4 linked regions of the Schizosaccharomyces pombe genome follow. The gene in region 3 interacts genetically with the main gene of each other region. Each region holds a gene or a part of one and is shown on either strand. Other genes may lie near its edges. The genes, in order: the13, SPOM_SPCC622.01C, prw1 and rpt4.

The links.
Region 1: mutations in prw1 (region 3) and the13 together harm fitness less than expected from each alone (positive genetic interaction), as found in Schizosaccharomyces pombe (one large-scale study listed by BioGRID).
Region 2: mutations in prw1 (region 3) and SPOM_SPCC622.01C together harm fitness less than expected from each alone (positive genetic interaction), as found in Schizosaccharomyces pombe (one large-scale study listed by BioGRID).
Region 4: mutations in prw1 (region 3) and rpt4 together harm fitness more than expected from each alone (negative genetic interaction), as found in Schizosaccharomyces pombe (one large-scale study listed by BioGRID).

What each region holds. Positions count from the first base shown.
Region 1 is NC_003423.3:3,753,842-3,757,173, reverse strand, and holds the13 (acyl-CoA thioesterase), read right to left. Parts: upstream 1,326-3,332; 5' UTR 1,242-1,325; coding exon 756-1,241; 3' UTR 525-755; downstream 1-524. Other genes in the region: glutathione-specific gamma-glutamylcyclotransferase Ggg1, read right to left, coding at 1-517; transcription factor TFIIH complex subunit Tfb2, read right to left, coding at 1,716-2,736, 2,782-3,104.
Region 2 is NC_003421.2:1,402,929-1,406,905, forward strand, and holds SPOM_SPCC622.01C (uncharacterized protein), read right to left. Parts: upstream 1,974-3,977; 5' UTR 1,828-1,973; coding exon 1,378-1,827; 3' UTR 523-1,377; downstream 1-522. Other genes in the region: SPOM_SPCC622.02 (uncharacterized protein), read left to right, coding at 2,148-2,531; SPOM_SPCC622.03C (uncharacterized protein), read right to left, coding at 3,041-3,439; SPOM_SPCC622.04 (uncharacterized protein), read left to right, coding at 3,749-3,977.
Region 3 is NC_003424.3:5,109,715-5,113,737, forward strand, and holds prw1 (histone chaperone, Clr6 and Rpd3L complex subunit Prw1), read right to left. Parts: upstream 2,169-4,023; 5' UTR 2,161-2,168; coding exon 2,076-2,160; exon of another isoform or gene 2,006-2,075; coding exon 1,900-2,005; exon of another isoform or gene 1,823-1,899; coding exon 718-1,822; 3' UTR 580-717; downstream 1-579. Other genes in the region: Ca(2+)/Mn(2+)-transporting P-type ATPase P5 type Cta5, read left to right, coding at 1-354, 401-579; fun14 (integral mitochondrial outer membrane (MOM) protein), read left to right, coding at 3,428-3,655, 3,767-3,982. UniProt on the Schizosaccharomyces pombe protein: Has a role in chromatin assembly and chromosome segregation. Involved in the deacetylation of histones.
Region 4 is NC_003421.2:403,685-408,144, reverse strand, and holds rpt4 (proteasome regulatory subunit Rpt4), read right to left. Parts: upstream 2,545-4,460; 5' UTR 2,534-2,544; coding exon 2,316-2,533; exon of another isoform or gene 2,262-2,315; intron 1,894-2,261; exon of another isoform or gene 1,843-1,893; coding exon 894-1,842; 3' UTR 550-893; downstream 1-549. Other genes in the region: mug122 (PX/PXA domain protein), read right to left, coding at 3,647-4,460.

The sequences.
Region 1 (3,332 bases), on a different chromosome or scaffold from region 3:
CAAGCTCAAATAGATAAACAAAGTTATCTCCGCTCTTTCCTCTTCGTGTAGAAATGATTTTAGCCATTTGAGTTAGGTCGTCTGAGGGCTGAAATTGGGGACTCTTTGAAGTACCCACGTAAACGAGACAATTCTCCAAAACCGGAATTTCATCACCGGTATGGGCATAAACGGGAACACTATGGGCGGTATAACCATTGACTTCTCTATCATCCAAGTATTCTCGCACTTGCGTCGCATATTTTGCAGGAATGCGAAATGCCATACCCCAGCATCCTTCATCAAACGGGGTGAAAGACCAGTCAGAAAATTGCTTCCATTCTTCATAAGGTATCAAGGTGAGAACGAGACCAGGTGAGTTAACAGTGCCCCTATGATCCTCACTACGCATCCAGAATCTGCGAACATAACCTTTTATAAAACATGGAATACTATAGTCATAGTGAGGAGGCGGATGCCAAATTAAAGAGCCATAACCAAACACCCATAAACTCCCTTCCGGACTAAGTGTTTTCATGAGCGAATTCAGCCCAAGTTTCGTTATTAAAAGGAAACCGGTGACTGTAAACTAAAACGCGAGCATGTTCCGAACCATAACATGAGCTTACAATAGATAACGACGGATAGCAAAATCCCTTATTTTAATTCCTAAATTTATGAAAACTGAAAAAATCGTGTAAAACATATCAACATTAGCGAGTAAAACAGAGCAGAAAAAGCGAATAGCCAGAGAAAGATATAAAATATAGGCAGAATTAATCTTCGGCTAAGTCAAGGCAATTTCTAGGATCTCCTAAAGCATTTCGAACAAACTTAGTATGCCTACCTTTAGCAAAGACCTCATTAGAAGATGTCAAAAAATCAACGCTCGTAAAAGCAATGTTTGATCCTAATCGATCACACTTTGCGTGCAGTAAAATTGATGAACCTAAAGTACCACCACTTTGTAAAAAAGTTTGATTCATATCTATTGACACGCCAGAAATAAAAAGCCCTCGACTGGCCAATGCTAAACTTCCTCCCAAATCAGTGAGTGCTGCAATACAACCGCCATGCAAATTACCCATACGATTTAGGTGATGCTTCTGCAGTTTCAGAGAGCATTCTACAAATCCTGGAACTGCACTTATAATTTGTATATCACTGACTACATGAGCATCAAACCCATTGGTATTTACAAAATCCTGCCAAACAGAACGAACGAAAGAAAGCACCTTAGTACCAGAGCTATTAATTGCCATTGTGTCTTAAAACTTCGTTTAACAGGTATCAATCACTGTAAAAGTAAGTACCTCAGGTGAATTGGTTATGTTGTGGCAGTTCTTGGCTACTCGCAGCAGCGATACTTGTAGTTAGTAAGGATTTACAAGCCATTTGCCTGCCTATAGTAATATCACCAAATCATTATTACAAATGGTAATATAATTAAATGAACATTAAATACAAGAATATGAATATTGTTTGGATTATTCAAATAACGGATATTTTTTTTTTCTAATGACGAGAAGAAGAAATTCATAATTTGAACGTTAAAGAGTTGCATCATTAAAACTTGAATTTCGTATAAATATCCAACACGCGTATAGTTAACATGGCTAATGTTGAGCTTATGTTATATATATGTTTATTGACACCAGTAAATTACTTACAAGTGATTTGAGATTAATTTAATATTTTCTAATTACCACTTCTCTTTTGAACCATCCAAAAAATATTCATTTGACAGCTCGTCTTTTCAAGTATGCGATCATGGGCTGGGCGCCTGTCGTAGTTATGAAAAACATTCTTTTCAAGGAACTGTCCCAAACCAAAACCCCGAGTTCTTTTGCGTACTCTACTGCTTGGTCGAAGCCAGAATCAGTAAGAAAATCGCGAAACAAAATTCCAGGAGTAGCCCGAAGTCTATTTTTTTCCAATTCCCATAAATAAATTTGATCTACTAATGTAGGAGGTAAAAGAGGAACATTCGATCTCATCTGAGGGTGAGCATGAGTTGTCAAGTATGTAATAATTTGCTCCGCTGCAATTCCATTCATCAAAGCACGACGAATACTATCCCGAGTTATCACACCGACAACAAGATTTGAAAAACGCGCCCTTAAGTTAGCAAACAATCCGATGATGGCAATCTGTAATGGGGAGCTTGTGTAAGCATATAATCGGTAATTTGTTTCTACAATAATAAAACCTTTATCATCATCATTTTCACTTTGCTTTCCATGCAATGAGCGATAATCAGTTGTCAGACCTGTTGCCAGTCTGGTTGGATAGAAACGCTTGGAAGTAATTTTTCTTTGATAAACTAATCCATATTCTCTTAGGTCTTCAAGCATGATTTGTTGTGTATCTGTTAAGAAGTCCACTGAGTATGCCCTCCCCAAATCCAAACTTCCAAGCATAAATAAAAAGTGCAAAACCTGAACAGGATCCATATGCGTGTCTTCAGATAGTTTTAAATAATCCAAAAGTAACGTCCAAATTTGAGCATTTATATCCTGTAACAGAAACTGAAAACCGGCACGGGTAATACGTAGCTGGTTTTTTGGACCAGACATTAAACCGCCCCGCTTTAATAGACTTAAGACACCTTCTCCAGGAAATTTAGCTTCCGGAGTTCCTACCATGAAGTGCAAGATTGTTTCCCAAGTTTCTTTCGCATATGCGTCAAGAAAATCAACCGTCACCAAGTGCTTGTCTTCATCGGTACATGGCACGCCAAACGAATTGTGATTTCCTCTAAAAAGCTTAATTAGTTTATACTCAAAATTCAATAAAACTTACCCTCCAGTCAGAGCAGTTATAAATTGTTTGCGAAATTCACTATTTAGAGTGATATATTGTCCATCAAATTGAAATATATGCATCCTAACCAGTTTGTTGAAGGATTCAGATTGATAAACTTTACTCGAAAGTTTGATCCATAAATCGAAATCTGAGAGTGCTACTGGCATAGGATTGAAAAGCATAGACATGACATACTGTCTAGCTAGAATTGGCAATAAACGAAACACAGCAAGACAAGCAGCTGGCTTTTGGTAAAGCCTTGCATGATTTGGTAACTGTTCCAGGAAGTCGTTGATACTAGACTTGAATTCTGCTTGCATGGTGACAATTTGCGAACCTACTTCAAAAGGTTTAAATTGGCGGTTGTAATCTCTCTTTATTCAGCTGAATAGAACAAAATCCAGTGTACTCAACTAATAAACTTATTTACGATTATCAATCTTCCATAAATGCCAGATAAGCAATCATCGCGAGACCGAAGGTGGATGGTGATCAAGAGCGAGTCGAATTACTGGTATTAAATAGGCTAGAATAACAAGCCAAAGCTT
Region 2 (3,977 bases), on a different chromosome or scaffold from region 3:
GCGATTTATGAAGATTAAAAGTATGATTTTATTTATTCGGAAAACAGTAGTTCACTAATTAACTGTCATAATTAACTAATGAAATTGGGAAACTCTCTAGTCGTCCTAGCATACTCATTATATATTCAATCATTGTTTCATTCAAATCTTTGTCTAACTCGTTTTTCTCATTTTCTTAATTTTTTAATGATATTCGAGTTTAATTTTTTTATTCTCTTTACTTTGTTATTTAAAAAAAACTTTAATAAATGGTGGGAAGCATTGTGATAAAAATCGATGCATCAGTTATCTTAATAAAGTTGACGGCAATTCCTTTATCCAAGCAAATTCTTGCATCTGGCTGAGTGTAAGAATTCGTAGCAAATGCTATTACTTTTGCTCGGTATAAAACCCTTTTATTACATTATTATTTTTTTTTTGGTATTCCAATATTTTTTTTGCAATACAATTGAATCCACATTTCTCAATTTACTTGTAACCTATTTGAGAGTAATGATAATGTTAAGCAACACAATATTGTTTATTAAAATTAATATTATAGTAATTCATTACCTTAGTAATGGAATTACAGAGACCATTGCACTTTTGCGCATCATTAAAAAAATTTATAAAGGGACGCATGGATAACTATGGGTTTTGCACCCCGTTTCGCTAAGGCAACTCTTAATATAGCCGTTATCTCAGTATTAGAGCGCTCGGTATAAGGTGAGTAAATAAATAAAGGAAGTGAAATGCAATGTTTGCGAGGTGGAAAAACTGAGCTATTATGGAATTCCTATCTTTGCTTAGTTTTATATTAGTCGGAAACAATGGTAAAGCTCTGCAATCGATTTATGCAAGCATGGTGAATGGGCCTTATGCATGTGTGCGATCAATTTTATCAACGCTAAACAAGCAGTAGATGTAGCCTCAATACTATATATAACCCGTACTTGTCTAAGGATATGGATAATTGTATGCAAATATACATGCAAACACGCATCATCAAGGATTGAAGAGGCCAGCTATGTTTGAAAGATCATGATTCATTGAGTTGGAAGTAAACGACAAATAAAAAATCGAAAAAAAGTATAATTGCAAGTACAAAGACAATTTAATATAATAAAACCAAATCTCCTTGATTAAAAAAAAGTGTTTTGGAAGTTAAAGGGAACGCCAATGTAAGTAAATAAATATCGCGGGTAATTTCCTCTTTGTTCTTCGAGACACAATAAATTAAATGAAAATACGAGAATCAAACACAGTAAGACATATCGTTGGCTAATCACATTCCCAATGCTTTCTTATTGCACTGCATTTACGGAATTCTCATTTGAATGGATTGAGTCGGATTGAAAATCAGCGCCACCGTCACACCATTCATATGAACCACTTTTTTTATTTTGATAAAAGGGTGTTCATTTCTTCACTTTCTTCTATTTCTTCGTTTCCTTCGTTCTCCTCTTCGAGCGATGGATAACTGGGAGGAGGTACCTCTTCGGCATAAGGATAATAACCACCGGCATTGAGCGCCATTTCATCTTCTCCCGGTTCCTCAATTTGTCTTTCATCTACAAGTTGAAAACACGGCCACACAAGGAACAGGAACATCACAAGGAATCCAGCCGCCAACACAGTATTCATTCCCAACACCCATCCCGGCACACCAAAACTATAAACGATGGAGCCAACCGCAAACTCCATGAAGCATGGGATTAGCATGTAAAGAGCTCGTTTTGAAAGAATTCCTTGTATATGACAATTCTTTTCAAATGCTTCGAAGTAAGAGTAACGTCGTCGAATTTGCTCGCGAGGGACGGCATGGATGAATACATTATCCACAGTCATCGTAGGAAAAGTGAATTTACAGGAAGGAATTAGGAATAAGTACGTTTCAAAAAGTCAAAGTAAAGTTTTCAGGTATTTTTTATTACAACAACGTCATTCCGATGTGGTTTTCACTATACCCGCTGCTACACTGAGTAAAGAGGGAGGATACTGCGGTTAGCCCAAATGTGGAAAATGTCCTTGAACCCTACCTACCCGAAGCAAGAAATCCGGTGTTGGAAAGCGCTGAAGGAGCGACATTCACAGTTTGATTTTCTTTTCTTTTTTTCTATTCTTGGACATCTGTTTTGATTCTTTTCTTTCTGCTGAACAGTTTCACGATGGCAGCAAATATCTCGAAACTTGAAGCAATTATTGATAATACACCGAATTCTTCCCCAGACCCAGAAGTTTCTCACAAGTTATGGGTGTCCTCTTTAAACAAATTTCAATACACACTTCCTCTTTTGATTAGTAACTTTGCTGGGCTCGGAATTGCGTTCATTTACTGCCTGATCGCTTTCATTCGAGAAATGTCGCATCCTTCATCCAGGAAAGACACAATGGAGCACGGGTTGCCCATAATTTTGTGCTCTACGTTGATGCTTGTTGGAAACATCCTTTACTATTTCTTGTCGAAACATCCGCTTAAAGTCACCGTTCCAGAGGATTTGGTGCAAATTCCTATGCAACAAATGTCCAGTCCCGCTCAAGAAGCACCTTAATTGGCCGTATATTTTGTTTCAATTATGTTTTTGAAGTGCTTGTCTAATATAATAAGGAGAATGCCATAATCGGTGACATTGTGAGCCGAGTTTTTGAGGCAGACATGTAGAATAGATGATAATTTGTATTTTATTAATTAATCTGTGAATGATATATTAAATGAATTGAAGTTCAAAATGAAATATGAAGAGGTGTCGAAAATATAGGAATAGTACAAACCAGTATATCGAACAGTGCTCTAAATTTTGGAAGATGAGTTCGTTCAGGGTCGATGTATTCAACACACTTCCATTTCGCATTACGAGACAAGTTTATGAAACGAATACGTTTTAGATAAAAATAGTATTGAATTATTAAGTTAATTTTTAGATTAGTAGTGACTTAAATGTTGAATAAATATTAAAGGAGTAATAAGATTAAAGGCAGCGGAATGGAAACGAAATATTTTATAACAAAGTGAAACAGGCGTAAAGGAATAGGTGCCCAAAAGCGATATATGAAGGTGTTATTAATACCTCTGATATGGAGAAGAGTTGAATGTATCTTCTCTTGCTTTAAGATTCTCTTGAAAGTCCTCAACTTCACCTCGTCGAATTTCAACTGTCAGTTTACGAGAACCTATAAAGAGCATCGCAAGTACTATGAGTATGAGTAAAGCATTTACGACAGCATCGATCATAGCAATTACTTGAATAGCTGATGGAAAACCTTTAAAGATGAAAGTAAACACAAGAATGAAAAGACGGCAAGACACGATGAAGGAGATAAAAGACATAAACAAAAAGTCATAATTATCAGCTCGTTCCTTACCGGCTTCATACGTTTTCTTTTCAATTAGTTTTTTGTATGTGGCACCTTTAAGTAACGACTGGAGTTCCCATAGTTGAATGGATTTCTTTGGATTCATATTTTTGTGGGAGGCAAAACAGCTAGTTTGAACAAATCCGTTTAAAAACAAGAAAAATTGCGAAAAAATATTAATATGAAATAAAATGCTTAAAAGTCAAAGGATTTCGACAATCGTTGTTAATGAGTAATTGGAGCGCAAGACCAGAGGTTTAACGATTTTGATATTCAACCAATATATTCAATTTCTCTGCCTACACAATCCCGACCTAAATATTCTGTATTATTTGATAAATATTTATTCTTCTTATGCAAAAGCATTTTCATTTTCTGGCCAATATCTGCTAAATTTTGTGTTATATTTATCAACATGACACAACCTGACATTGAAATAGTTATCAAGGAGGATTTTACCTATAGGGAGTGTTCAGATGTTGCGAACGATGTGTTTAAAAAAACTCAATGGCTCTTGTACGTTTTCCTTTTCATAATTTTTGCCAATTGTGTTGTTGATGTTAAGTATTATTTTGAGGGATTTAGTCATTCATTATTATTCGTCTATTTTTTCTTGACTTTAATAATTCTTCTTGTAAGTTTTA
Region 3 (4,023 bases):
ATAACCAATTTTTGTTTATGGATCTGTTAATCATATTTCCACTGTCAGCAGCTATGAGTTACTTCGACCCTGCTCAAAATTTGACAAGCAATCGCCCTAATTCAACATTGTTTGGCAAAGGAAGAGTAAAGGATTTAGGAATTCAATCAGTATTAATATGGCTATCCCATGGCTTGCTGACTTTAATACTACACGAGTTGAACTGGGTTGAATTACCTGAATGGCAACTTGAAAAATCAAATACGAAAAACGTGCTAGTGACTAGCATATTTCTTTTAAGTTCTTTACAATATTTAGGAATTTGTATTGGAATAAACCAAAGTTCCGAGTTTTTGTCACCTATTTGGAAAAAAAGTAAGTGAAAATCCTGTCTTTTGTTTATTAACATCTTATGATATAGAAACTTATGTATGTTTGTGTACTACCATTGGCCTTTGCAATATCTATCTATGTTTTGCAAATGAAAATCACATTATCTCTAGGTGTTTGCAAATCACACGTCTACCGACACTGTATCGTTTCATAATACTTTTTATGGGAGTTATCTCGTGCTGCCTTACGAGTATTCTGAACATGTAAAAAAAACAAAATTAAATATATATATGTTAATCAAAAACTTGCTTTTATGTGCAATTAGGGTAGAAAAAAAAAGGAGTTAAAGAGAGAAACAGGTTTGGGACATTAAGTAAAATATCAATGAATGTTGTATACGACCGGTTAACTTAAATATGCCGTAGCATCTTCCTCTAATTGTTCATTACCCCAAATTGAGCGAGAAGGTGTCCAAATTTGAAGAATATTATCTTCAGCAGCGGTTGCCATTGTCCAATTATAATTAGGACACCAATCCATGTCAATTGTACAAGAAGTATGGCCTCCGTGCATAAAAAGAAGCTCCGGAGGACCGTCTTGAGCTTCCTCAGCAGGCTGATCTTCCCCGATTCTTGAAAGATCCCAAACTAAGGTCCTTCTATCGGCTGAGGTAGAAGCAAGAATAGGCTCTTCATGAGGAGAAAAGCTAATTTTTGTTACAATGTCTTCATGTCCTTCTAATGTATGTAAGCGTTGATTAAGGTTCCGTAAATCCCAAAGTGCAATGGTTTTGTCAGTCGAACAAGTAGCCAAAATAAAGTCGTTATGAGGGTTGAAAGCAACAGAATGAATAGGACCGCTATGGGCATGCACACTTCGAGCTGGCTTTGTGGAAGCATCAGGGCGACGAATATCATGAACATGAAGGTACTGATCATAGGAAACTGAAGCAAGAAGATCCTGGTGCTTATAATGAAAGCGTACATCACTGACCTGTTTTTCATGGCTGCTTATATGCACTTTCAAAACTGACGCTGAATCTGACTCGTTGTAAGCATTCAAATCCCAACAAGAAAGAGTAGCGTCTTGCGATCCAGAAACCAAAGTACCCTTAGAAAGAAAATTCCAACAAACACTAGTACAGGGCTGGGTATGTTTGGTCAATCTATATTTGGGCTTAAGAGGAGACTCACTAGCCGAGCTATAAGATTCGAAGGATTCCTTGTCAAAAACCAACACATCATTATGATAGTTACCCACCGTAGCTACACAAGAATCGTCTTGTGGCATAAGCTTCGCACTACAAACAGACTCAGGATGAGAATAAAGATTTGAGATATTAACACGTAGAGAAGACTCGTCACCCGCAGATGCTCCCTCCATTGTAGTAGGAGGAACAGTCTGATTTAAATAGGGTAATTGAATAGACGCAACAGCTAGTAAGTATTTGCCAACATCAGCACGAACTCCCAGAAACATTTTCTGCTCAGTATATCCATGTTCTGCAAAACTATAACAAAAAATAATGGTAAGTTTTTTGAGTCACATAAACAAGATTAAACATTATGATTCAAATGATTGACTTACATTTGCTGCTCTGGATACCATTGTAGTGACATACAAGGCCATTCCAAAGCTCTAGTAATTATTAAATCGTAAAGGAACGGTGAGTTCTTTTTCCAAATTTTATACTCTGTTTCAGATTAGAAACACATTTTACATTGATCAACTAGAAATTGTATGTTAAAACGTTGCAGACATACCTTCATTGATGCATTTTTCTTGATTTATTCCCTCCTCCGAAGCCTGCGCTTGCTTGGAAGGATGGGGAACAGCTGATACAGCCATTATGTTCTAGTTAAAATGATTGAATCTGCTTTTTGGTGGATGGTGAGTAGACGCGTGCAGCGCTAATGTGCACACTAAGTGTTCTTAAATAGGTGCAGGTTGGTTTATAAATTAAGATTGTTTAGGTTTTATATAATCACAGCCGTATAGATGTTTAAATGGGAAAAAACAATAGAAACTTAATCTTGTCTCATGCTTCGGCTAGCGTCTTTTCATCTTCTCTCTCGACCTGAGATGCGTTTCCACAGTGCTAGAAATTGCAACTTTTAAAGAGACTGTTAATTGTAAAAAGTTGAATTACTAAAAATGATTATGTTTGCTGAACATATGTATACAGAAGTGAGATATAATTTGGGTAGCACAAGCTTCCCGATGGACTGCTATAAGACACAAGATGGAAAGATAAATTTATAGAGCTGAGAGTTAAGAATCTTTAATTTAGATGAGTTTTTTTTTACTTTGCTTTCATGCTAATTTCATCTACTCTAACTTCTGCATGAATCAGTGCGTCAAGAACAGAAACACTTTGAAGCTTTTTTTTAGTCACACAAGGCAACAACCGCTTGAGAAGCAGGATTATTAAAATTGGTAAAAAAATTATGTTCCTCTTAGTTTTAAGGTACATTCAACTTGTGTATCGCCAATAGCAAAACGCAGCCAAAATTTCTGAAGTTCTCCTTTTTTTGAATATTCAATTGAGCGTGAATAAAAAGTATATGATTTAAAATAATGATCTCCCACCTGTTCTGCAATCCTTGGAAAATGCATCAAGTCATACTGAAAACCAAACGAGCAAGAAGCCGAATTCAAGATGCCCTCGTATTCTTGCGTACCCTTAGTAAAAGAAATGAGAAATATATTTAATTTAATTGTTAAAATGAAGACAATCCCGTTTCAATATGTATGCCGTTCTTTACATCAAGAAAAAAGAACTTCGAAGCAAGTCATACCAAACTAAAAGATCGTTGATCTTAAAAAGGAACATTATTAATTTTAGAAACGATGATGAAGAAGCACAAAATTACCTTTCACTTAAATACTTCGTACACAATACATTTGTTTACATCTTTCTCTTATAATAAATCTACCTTAAGACACACACTTTCTCAGTAAGCTGATTAAGAAAAAGCAACGAAGATACTTTATCCATCTTTTATTTACATCTTCGAGACATGACGTTTCGTAATAATTCCCACCTTTAGACTAAACCGTTTCCACCAAATTTGTACCTTTTCTATTATTTTTCTTTATTTTTTACTCTCACATAATGAATTGTTTACTTCTAGGAAGAGGATTCTTGCACAGGTTTCACCCATTTCGCCCAGTCTTGTGTGAAGATTCGGCAAGTGCTGCAACTACTATCACCTCTCAATTTAAGCTGAATTACCGTCAAATCTTTATTGGAAGCTCTCTTGGTTTAGCAGCCGGATTTGCTTTAGGAAAATTGGGCCGTTTATTCATCGTTGCCTGCTCCGCCGTTTTCGCTACCATTGCTGTAAGTGCTTAAGTTTGATTCTTTATTTATATTTAGAGGTTTTAAAAACCTTGTGTTTCGCACTGAAAATCGTATTTATCTTTCATAATACTAACACAATACGTTTATTAGTATATTAACAGTAAAGGTCTGATCCGAATTAATTGGCCCCAGCTGCAGCAACAAGTTATAGGTCCTACGGAGCAGTATACTGGATTTCATTTCCCAAGTTCAGGTAGGTTTAATACTCAATCAACATTTCCTACCATTCGTAATTGGATCTGTACAAACCCCAATTTCAAGCTGAGCTTCTTTTCAGCTATGTATGTTGGATTTGTGTCATCATAAAAGTGGCTGAATTTCACCACAACACATTTCGATTTTGATAC
Region 4 (4,460 bases), on a different chromosome or scaffold from region 3:
TCTTCTTTGACAAACAAAAAGAGGGAAACTGTACGCCGATTTTAAAGAAACTAGCTTGCTAATCATTTTATTATCAGTTATTTGCGTTTCATACTTTTTTCCTTTTAATACGTTAATACTTCATTTGTAATTTTTTAGATTATTCATTTCTGCGCTCTTTGTTTTACGCCTTTTCGTCGTCTTTTTCAATGACTCTATCTGGCTATCTTTATCTTGCCTTTACTTTCTTGAAATTATGGGATAAAATGACTTCTAAACTGCGCATTCAGCTTCATCTAGTACTATAATAACTAGTTTGGCTGCTTATATGAAGCCAGCTATGATTTTCACCTCTCTTATTCTTTTATCTTAGCGTACTAGACGTTTTTCCTCGTTTCTTTGTCAAAGGTCTACTACCTTTTAAGGATAACTTCAAACTATCCTTCCTGGGAAGAGAAGAATTTTTGCATTTTTGAACCGGGTTTCGTTCAATATATTTAGTTCGTTCTTTACACTTCAGTGCATTTGGTTAGTTAATAATTTCTAGTCAAACATTTGCTTTACTTTTAATTCATGTGTATAATTAATTGTTTATTTTTACTTGATCATTTTTTCTTTTGTCGCCAGTAAATTATGTAGAGTGGAAAAACAATGTTTGGTATTTGGAGGATATGGAAAACATAATCAAATATTGAAGAAAATCAGTTTGTACTATCACAGATATGCCTTACGATAATATACATAGATTCCCATCAAGCATATTCATATATACATGATAAAAGCCAAAAGAGTCGGAATATATTAAAAGTAAACGTTTCACTTACTATTCGACCTTTTTAATCATAACTATGCAGTTGCGCGTATAATCTTCATCGGTAAACTTATCATTTCATGGCTTTTTGGATATATGTGCACTAAAGCTTTTGGTAATCAATTGTACCTTCAAGTTTCTTCAGGTCAGCAACCTTACGAGCTGCGGACATTAAATCGGACTGAATGACATAGTCGCGATCTTCTTTAATGGCTATGAATCCTGCTTCTGTAACCACATTCCGCAAGTCAGCACCATTTGTTCCATCTGTCAGTTTAACCAATGCTTCATAGTCAATTTCGCCTTGTTTAGAGACTTTTTCTAAATGGATTTTCAAAATCTCCATACGACCAACTTCGTTTGGTAGGGGAATTTCAATTTTACGATCTAGACGACCAGGACGAAGCAAGGCAGGATCTAGAGTATCAGGACGATTTGTCGCCATGATAATTTTCGTTTGGCCAAGGTAATCGAAACCATCCATCTGATTCAATAATTCCATCAATGTACGCTGAATTTCACGATCAGCAGATGTTCCTTCAGAGAATCTTCTACCACCAATAGCATCAATTTCGTCCATAAAAATAACACATGGCTCATGCTCTTTTGCATAGCCAAACATTTCACGAATTATTCTAGCAGATTCTCCAATATATTTATCAACGATAGCACTGGAAACTACTTTTAAAAAGTTAACACCTAAAGATGCCGCCACGGCACGAGCTAAAAGAGTTTTACCAGTACCAGGAGGACCATAGAGCAAAACACCTTTTGGTGGCTTAATTCCCACACGAAGGAATAATTCCGGATTCTTTAAAGGTAGTTCAATAACTTCACGCAATTCACGAATTTGTTCATTCAAGCCACCGACACCGGCGAAAGAAATGTCACCAGGGTCTTCAATTGACATATTGTAAACGAGAGGATCAACCTCACGAGGAAGAATACGCATAATGGTTAACGTGGTCATATCTAAAGATACACGAACGCCTTGAACCAAATGAGATTGGTCGACATTGTTTCTGCAACCTACAACGTAACGTGGACCAGAGCTAGAATAGGTTAGGGAAACAGAAAATAATGAAAGGAAATAAAAAATAGTGTACTAATGCAACGATAGATTTGTAAAAAGAGAAGGATGACTATACGTGAGGTATCTACTTTCCCAACGATTTGCTATGAAACCAGTAAACAGAGTGTTTCATGCTTCCGGTTATAGATTTTTATACCGTGTGCGCATTTCAAAAAGAATTTTTGCTGGATGGAGAGGTTAGAACCAAACAGTTTTTGAACACAGATTTTGCCCACTGAACTTATCTTTAAAAAAAAAAAGGAACGGGCAAATGATTATATGCATTTAAACATGGTTCCCATTCATACGCCACAAAAAATTCTTTATGAAGGAATTCAACGCCCAACATATGCATTACTAATAATAAGGTCTTCACATCCATTTTCACATTTCACTTGTATATATCCTCCACGTAAAGCAAACAATCTCCCAAAAGTTTGAGTAATTACTTACCTAGCTTTTACAATGAATCTTTCAGAATCAAGTTGTTTCAATACTTCTCCAATAATCTGACCAACCGACTGCAAGCTTTTTATATCATCCTCTGTTTTATCATATTTCTTGACTAGATCTCGATTTCCAAAACGCAAATCCTTCAGTTTTGAATCCCATTCTCGATGTTGTAATAAATAGGATTTATATTTCTCTAAAGCAGTGTCTCTTTCCGACATGGTTATTTCGCAAAAGATGTGTTAGTTCTGGTCAGAACATACTAGCAAATGGGAATCCAATTACTCGGTATTTTACGTTCTTAGAAATTATTAAAACTTCACTAAAGTCGTTTTCGTTAAATAAGCATTGCGAATTTCAGCGGAATCTGTTCTTGCGTAAGATTATATTTTTCTATAATAGCAGTATGATTACTAGACTACAGTTTTCTTTAAAAGAATATTTTGAAGTTTGAATTGAGTATCTTTTCAGTTTTGCAAGTTCATGCTGAAACCCCAACCGAAAATGCATTATTATTTTGTTTAAACTTCTCATATTTAAGTTTTCTCGAAACCAGAGGTATTACACTCCTGTCGCTATCCGTAAAAACAAAAACTTGTTGAGCAAACATCAAACTTTGAAGATGCTAGAATTACTGTTAATCTCAAAATTAACGAACGTTTTCTGCTTTAAAAAATTTCATCCTTCGTAAAATTTTGGGTACTGCTATGTCAACAATTTGGTAGTTGCTTCAAGTCATTCTGTTAACAAAAATTATGCTTAATCCGCCAAAACTTGGTCTCTTAAGTTGAACAATCCAATTCAATTGACCACTTGTGTCAGAATATGATTGTCAATTAATATCATAGTTCCTACAACTAAATTTTCTAAACATATACACGTCTAACTTTTTCTTACACAAAAAGCTAGATTGCTTGTAAAACGGAACGAACAATTAACCGAATAAACGAAACTCAATATGTATAAATTAACGCAAACTTGACTAAAGATAGAGAAGATAGTTCTCGACTTCGCCAACTTTAAACAAACAAATCTTAAAGCAAGGTAAAGTCGAAAATACGATTTTATAAATAAATATATAAAAGAAAGTAGGATAATAAAATATTAACAAACGAGGTAGAAAACAAGGGAATGGTTCTAAAGGTTCGTTTGATTTTGCGATTAATCATGAAACCGGTCATCACGTATCGACCAAAAGCTAATGGAATTTTAAAATGTAAGAGAAGGGAAACAAAATGATAAAAAAGGGAAAGAAGTAAAAATCATTAAAATGCCAGGTATATATCGGCGAAAAGAAATAAATATACGGCACACTTGCGATATACCTTGATTGACTATATGATGCTACGAAGAGCATTGCTAAGTAAATGTGCAAGGAACCCTTGCACGAATTGCGGTTCTTGAAGCAGTTCGAAAATAATTTTTAGGCTTTCCTCGGAGGTTGACTGTCCAAGCATAAGAGTAAAATTCTCAGATAAAGCGTTTTCAACAAGGGTTTTTTCGGCTCGTAATCTCAAACTTTCATCGCTTTCCTCGTCACAAAAAACTGAAACAGGGTCTTCAGGAACAGATTTGCTAGCCTCTTCGAAAAGGGAATCGGCTTCGCTATCAAAGGAAATTTTAGATTCAGTTGAACGTCTGTGTGCCCTTGTCGAATGTGATTCCATGGCTTTTTTTTCGTCGGGCCATACGTTTAAGATTAACGAAGTTAATAAATCTCCCACTAGTTGAGTGTTTGAAAGCTTGTCATAAATTTGGTTCTTTAACATTCGTTCAACTTGAGCCGAGAACCTCCCAGGACCATGCAATACTGTCGTCTTCATAATCGTTAAAACTGATTTTCGAAAAAACCACAACTTGGAATTCAGAGAGCAAAGCTCATCAACCAGAGCAAATCCCCCGCTGATAATTTCTTTAAGACGTTCTTCTTTTAATTCAAAAGCGTTTGGTTTAGGTGGCTCAGTGGTTGGACTTCCGTTATGATCAGGCATCGCTGGGGGGTTTTCAGTTGGTTGAGTGGAAGCGGGACGGTAAGGCTCATGAATCGAATCCTCATCATCCGAAGTACATGAACCGGTATCTCTATAGCCGGTGGTACAAAGTTCAAAGCTATCCCTTTGTTGGCTAAGTGGTTCAGGTGCCAATGTA